Linked DNA regions of Callithrix jacchus. The protein of the gene in region 2 purifies or fractionates together with the protein of the main gene of each other region. This does not show direct contact. Links are inferred from orthologs where the notes say so. Each region holds a gene or a part of one and is shown on either strand. Other genes may lie near its edges.

Region 1 (3,653 bases), on a different chromosome or scaffold from region 2:
GAGGCGGAGGTTGTAGTGAGCTGAGATCATGCCATTGCCCTCCAGCTTGGGCAACAGAGCAAGACTCCATCTCAAAAAAAATAAATAAGAACACAGTCCATTTGTGGATGCTAGAAAAAAAATCTTATTTTTTTCACTAGAACTATTATATTTATTTACTTTATAAATATGATCAAAAATTCATTTTAATAACTTAAAATTTTTGAAATGTGTGTATAATCACGTACCTGCTTTCAAGACGAGTAACCTCTGCCTGCAGAAGTTCCTCTCTAGTATGGGTAAAATTCAACTGGGACAGCACGCTGTCTAAGTCCCCCTGCCCTTGAGAAGTGTACTTCTTTTCTGCCGGAGAGTCTTCCCCTGGCCTATGGAAAGACATAGGATGATTGTTAAGGCCTTTATCTCTGCCAACAAAAAACAATGCACATCTAGTTTGTATTTTCCAATCATTTTTGGTAAACTCTTTGGAACTCATTTATAAATGAGTTCCTGCTTTATAAAAACAATATTGGGAATGCCTCCTGCTTTATAAAAACAATATTGGGAAAGGAAAGCAAGAGTCCAGAGATGCTCCTTCTTTAAAAAGTCAGCGGCAATTTACTCCCTTCTTAACTGAGATTTGGCCTATTTTTCAAGGGAAAAAGACAAAATGGCAAAATCACTTCACTGACACTTGAAACCCTGTACCAAAAAAATTGAAAAGTTACAGGAGAATTCTGGCAAAAATAAAAGTGTGCAACAGACTTTAATCAAGCAAGAAGGCTAGCCCAATGGCTGGCTGCTACTAATGATAAGCAGCTACTAATCACTCCCTATTCCACCAAGAAAGTGAGGCCTCCAGGAGACAGGAATGACACAGAAGACATGAATGACAATTCCCTTCACATCTGGAGATTCACCAAGCATGCAAACTGACCAAGAGGTTTCTAACTTTTTAAACATGAGAGTCTGAGTCTCTGTTAGGAACCCAAACTGGAGGCAGAAGAAAACTAACCAAACAAAATTTTATAACACCTTAAAAACCTAACTCAGATATGATCAAACATAAAATTATAAATATGCAATATTAAAACTAGTGCTTGGACAGGCACAGCAGCTCATGCCAGTAATCCCAGCATTTGGGAGACTGAGGTGAAGGGATCACCTGAGGTCAGGAGTTCAAGACCAACCTAGCCAACATGGTGAATCCCCATCTCTAAAAATACAAAAAGTAGCCAGGGGTGGTGGCGTGCACCTGTAGTCCCAGCTACGCAGGAGGCTGAGGCAGGAGAATCACTTGAATCTGGGAGGTGGAGGCTGCAGTGAGCCAGGATTGCACCACTGCACTCCAGCCTGGGTGACAGAAGAAGACTCTATCTCAAAATAAAATAAAATTAAAATTAAAATTAAATTAAATAAACCTAGTGCTTAATGCCTAGCCATTAAGTGGCTAAGATGAGTAATATTGAAGGTTAAATTTACCTTAGAGCTTCTGCAGCGTGTTGAGCGTCAGCTGCCTTTATTTTTTCTTGTAATTTCTCCTTTAGCATTCTTTCCTCACGGATGAAATTTTCTTGAGACTGAAGAGCTGCCCTCAATTCTCTCTTTTCTTCCTGCAGAGCCTGCAAAAAAGTCAGATATGATTATAATGTTCTTTCAATTCCGTTTTCTTCCTGCATAACCTGCAAAATACTCAGAAATTGCTAAGCCAGATATTATTACAATTTTTCTATTTCATGAGGAAGCCAGGAAGTCAGACTATTAAGTTATGTAACAGTTACAACATTAACACTTATAAAGTAGGAAAGAAAGTATAGATTGCAGAACCTAGTTCTAGCTGAACAACACTCTTAAAACACTCATACACACACTTCCCCCAATTATAGTGATTTTAAAATACACCTCTAATAGTTTTTCAGATTCCCTCAATTTTTCTTCTTTTTGCTGCTGCTCCTGGAGAACAGTCATATTGGTTCCAACCAAGTCATTGACCCTCATGGTGAGGCGCTCTATTTCCAACTCATTGGCACAGATAGTATCATTGGCCCGCTCCAGTTTACTGCTTAAGTGCTGAATTTCTGATTGGCTGGAAAGTTCCACAGACTCTAATTTCTGTTTCCGATTGGCAAGCTGAGCCTAGAAACACAAACCATCAATCAATAGGTAAAAGGGAAATGATAATGAATGAATAAGCAAGACTAAAATGAACCTACTATTTCCATGAAAGCATAACGCACTGGCTCAATAAAATACGTATGCTGAGAAGGGGTAAGAAAGAATTGAGAGGCTGGGCATGGTGGCTGCAATCCTAACACTATGGGAGGCTGAGGAGGGCAAATCGCTTGAGCTCAGGAGTTGGAGACCAGCCTGGAAATATGGCGAAACCCCGTCTTTATTAAAAAAAAAAAATACAAAAATTACCCGAGCATGGCAACACAGGAGGATCACTCAAACCCAGGAAGCAGAAGTTGCAGTGAGCCAAGATCACACCACTGCACTCCAGCCTGTGTGACAAAGTGAGACCCTGTCTCAAAAAAATAAATGAAATAAAATAATGGATAAAGTAAAGGGATTCCTCAGAAGAGATGCTACAGTATTCTACCTACTTACACAGAAATTCAACCACAACCTGTCTAGAGTTATTTCCTATTTAAAACATAGGAAACAGGAGCTATAAGGCATTATTCTATTTCTGATGGAAGTTCAGTTATTAGAATTTTAAAATCACTAAATATGTAGTTTAAATTCCGCCCCCCCCCACTTAGAGCATGTTGTAATTATTCTGTTTTAACATTACAAACATTCATATTTAGATTAATCAAAGTGACCATAAAATGCTCTTTAAATTAAAAGAAATGGGGAAATTGTGGACTTTTGTTTATTGGAGAAAAAGGGGCTTATAAGGCAGAAGAGACTGGTTCTGTCATCAGTTTTTGGACACTTCCTGAGTTAAAAGACGTAAATACAGTGCATCTCAAATTGGTTTCTCTCAATGACATATCTACTGAGTACTATGTTTTAGGCTATGCATCTCAGCAATATTGGTTTTCAGCTCCCAACTTTCTAGTTTTTACAAGTTTTAATCCAGCATCCTTGTACTTCATCTACAAACTTAAGATGAATATAAATCATCTGTGGAGGTAAACTTCCCTTATTCTAAATATTTCTAAAGGGAAAAACACACAGTTTTATTTTTAAAATACAAGTAGAGATATCTCTGGGAAACTGTTGCAGATCTAAAGATTTTATAATTTATAATACAGGTCCAAATACTATACTATATATTGCAGTCAAGTAAAGTAGATGCTAAAAAGTTCCCATAAGCCAGAGAGAGTGTAGAAGAAAGGTGACGAGACAGACAAATACTCTTTGTATAAATTACAAATCAAGATTTCAGTGCCAAGAGCCATTTTTCTTTTTACCAGATCCCCACAATGGTATGAAGAAAGAACATCAACATTTAGGTTTAGATTCACTAGAACAATTGCTAAGCATGGAACTGTCTCCAAACTTTCGAATACAATATAAACTTTTTTCCAAGAGGAAATCTTATATAGAATCCTGTACAGAATAAATAAATGTGCAGATTGGGTGAGGGTGAGAAGGAGAAAAGAGTTAGAGCCCAGCTTGCTGAAATGTCCCTTAGTTCAACCCTTAACCTGTACAGCAGCCCT
Region 2 (3,653 bases):
CACTCTGGATGACAGAGCCAGAATCTGTCTCAAAAAACAAACAAAAACTCAATAGGACACACAGAATTCTTTTGTAGGTAAACCCACTTACTTCTAAATGCTTAGTGGCCTCTTCATTTCTGGACATAAGCATCAACTTCGTACGAATACTTCGCAAATGCATGTCACTTAAGATATTTACTCTCTTCACAGTTGCTTCGCTGGCAGACTATAAACAAACAAGCTAATTACTCAAAACTTTAATCATTCTTCCAAATAGCACAAATGCCATCTTCTATACAAAGCGTTCCTTGCTTCTCATCTACTACACTTCTCCTTTCAACTAACATTCCGTACTCTGAGTAATCAGACTTTCCTTTCTGAATTCCTGTATTATTTATAACTGCTATTCAGAATAGGTTTGGCTGGGAAAAAATCCACGTTCTCACAGATTAAGAATTTTATGTTAAGAATGTCATGTTAAGATTTTTTTCTCCTTACTCCAGAAGAAATCAAAAATAATTAACATTTTATAGCGGCAAATGAATTTTTCTCCCACACTGTTTTAATAAATAATTCACTATATACTAAGCTGACCTTGGCTTTTCTCTTTTGAAATATCTAATAATAAAATCTGTGCAGTATCCATTAACAAGCTACTTTAAAACATGGTGTTATCTTACCAGTATCATCAGCTGTGTTGTTTCTGGATGGTAAAAAATTCTGCATGCTCCTACTGCTTTCTTAAAATCTTTATGTGCATTTTCATTAGCACACCTAGAGAAAAATTAATTCATGTGTAAGACCTCAATAACAGATTAAATTTAGAGGAGACTTATAATACAAAGTCAGTGTTTCATTTTGACATCCGCCATTAAAACCTTTGTTCATTAAGATTTTCCATCAAAAGGTTTTGACTGGATGTTTGATTGGATGTTTGGGAAAATGTTTTGCAGCACTGAAAAATCCTCTTAATTCACAAAACAATTCAATAGTAAATAAAATTACTCACGCCTCTCTCAAATCCTCAGGAACATCCACTGTGCATTTAAAGAAGGTATTTTTTTTGACCGTTTTATTTTGATTGACAGGTCGAAGTCGTTCAAATGTGACTATTTCATTGTAAGTAGCATCACAAGCAGCATATTCAATGACATAAAACTAAAAGACATCAAAATACTTTAAAAATCCCATATGAACAAAATAATGAAATTTAAATGAAGTTCTAATTACCTTGCTCAGCTTAACCAATGGATCCTCCCCCATGTGGCACAAACACTAAGCACAGCTTAGCTGCACCAATCTGATTTGCCTAAAGTAGATGATAGGTTCTTACAAGCATGAACCTTGGTGATCCTTACATGCTTGAGGTGTACCTCTGGAGTGCAGCTTTGGTGTTTGCCAATACAGAACACAAACAGAAATTAATGCTAATGAACTTCCGAAATGTTTGATCAACTATTTCTCAGGTAGGCTTTTAGAAATAATACTGACAGTAGAAATAACATTTACAAAAACCAAGCACTGAGGTGTTTCCTTAGAAACTAGTCACAAAGCAAGTGTTAAGCTTACTTACTTCTCCTTTCATCATCCGAACTTTAGCCAACCACCACCCACACGGCTCTTGGTCATTTGCTCTTGAATATACCTGAGGAGAAGAAAAAAAAAAATGCCTATATCCATTCATCCCAAAAGATTTCAATGCTGTAAATAATGACTTCTTATAAATGTCCAGTCCCATTAAACTTAAGAATCAAAAATGCTATTTTATTTAAATTGGTATATTAAATGAAATATAATAAAAGTGACAGTTACACTTAAATTTAGTACTTAAAAATAAAACTATACTTTTTCGGGCAGTTTAGCTTCTTGGAAATTAATTCCATATTCATGAGGTTTACTAAACATAAGCATTTTAAAGAAATGCTCTTAAAAAGGAGTTTTAAATAATGTATAACATAGGCCTTCCTGTTTCTATCAACATTGTTAATATTAAATATTATTCTCAGAAAGTGATTAACCTAATGTTTAAATTCCATCAAGGACATGACACTTAGATCCCTTGCCAAAGAACTTAAAGCAAATGTACTAAAATGGTTTGAGTAACAAAAATACTACACACATTCAGTCCATCTAGCAGAGTACACTAAGTATCTTACAAAACTCCTATTCAGGCCAGGCGCTGTGGCTCACGCCTGTAATCCCAGAACTCTGGGAGACCAAGGTGGGTGGATCATCTGAGATCAGGAGCTCGAGACCAGCCTGATCAACATGGTAAAACCCTGTCTCTATTAAAATACAGAAATTAGCCAGGCATGGTGGCAGGCGTCTATAATCTCAGCTACTCAGGAGGAGGCAGCAGGCCAATCACTTGAACTCAGGAGACAGGCCACTGCACTCCAGCCTGGGCAACTAGAGAGAAACTCCATCTCAAAAAGAAAAAAAAAAACCCAAAACAACAAAAAAAAACTCCTATCCACAAAATAATTAGTCTTATATTCTTTATAAAATCAGTTTTATTAACATAATAGATCACAGAAGTTTTCACTTGGGATTCTAGTTAAACCCAACTAAAGACAGAAAGTTTTAGAAAGCCTGAAGCTTCTATCAGGACGATTTGAGAGTAATCTCAGAAGTGGTAGAAATATGGAACTGGAAATGAATAAACCAAAACCTACTAATAAACTTTACTGTACACCGTGATTAGAAAAAAGCTATGAGAAAAGCAGGAGTCCAATATACCAATCAGGATCCATTAAACTCAATTTTAGCTTTTCCATTTCTTTTATAAACAGATCTAACTATTCAAAGGGATCAATATCTCATGACTTTATTCTTCCTTAGACATATACAAAACAATAAGAAAGTTTACTTTTTTAAGACTAGAATAAAACTCACCCTTATTCTGCAATTATTTTATGTATCCACTGGGCCCTTCTATAAATGTAAGGTAGAATATAGTGATCTTATTTTTCCTATATCTTGAAACATTTTACTATTTCATCAACATTCATCAGTTATTCTCAGCTATGTTTTAAATAAAGACTAAAATGGAACAGAGGAGTAACGGCATCACCTAGAAGGACACAACAGTGAAATAAATTGTTAACGCTGTGTCATCGTAGTTTCCTTACTGTATAGCCCGAGGTATCACATCTCTTTCAAAAAAGTGAAAAAAGACTGAGGACGCCATCCTTGCAGTCTGCTTGTAGCTACCGCTGACCAGTTGAGAATTATGAATTTATTTTTCAGTCATAATTGCAAAAAGAAGAAAATTTACAGAGGAATGCCTTTCTAATTATTAGAGATATCAGACAACAGATCCAAAAAGATAGCAGCACACTTGATTCCACTGATAAATGTGAAATTATCTTACAAAGCAAAATCTCAGACTATGAAGTCTTCAGATGGTGACATCCTAGACGAATGTTCTCAAACCACGTATTTCTAAGGAGAAGAGGCAAAGATGATGTGTATTCTCATCCAGTTCATCACTCAACTGAGACTTCATCATGCAAAATCCTCCAACAAGAACCCAGATCATTCTGGTTTTCTAAAATGGTTTATGACAGTATTCTTCCATCTTTTTAAGATGTTTGTGATCAGGCATGGTGACTCACACCTGTAATCCCAGCACTATAGGAGGCCAAAGCAGGTGGACTGCTTGAACTCAG

The links.
Region 1: the proteins of FXR1 (region 2) and CEP63 purify together in Homo sapiens (co-immunoprecipitation; 3 studies listed by BioGRID and IntAct, with this or other methods). This does not show direct contact. The link is inferred for Callithrix jacchus from reciprocal best matches to the Homo sapiens genes FXR1 and CEP63.

Annotation. Positions count from the first base shown.
Region 1 is NC_133518.1:49,629,195-49,632,847, forward strand, and holds part of CEP63 (centrosomal protein of 63 kDa), read right to left. Parts: intron 2,116-3,653; coding exon 1,882-2,115; intron 1,602-1,881; coding exon 1,462-1,601; intron 366-1,461; coding exon 228-365; intron 1-227. UniProt on the Homo sapiens protein: Required for normal spindle assembly.
Region 2 is NC_133516.1:9,198,884-9,202,536, reverse strand, and holds part of FXR1 (RNA-binding protein FXR1), read right to left. Parts: intron 1,628-3,653; coding exon 1,556-1,627; intron 1,141-1,555; coding exon 992-1,140; intron 757-991; coding exon 663-756; intron 209-662; coding exon 92-208; intron 1-91. UniProt on the Homo sapiens protein: mRNA-binding protein that acts as a regulator of mRNAs translation and/or stability, and which is required for various processes, such as neurogenesis, muscle development and spermatogenesis.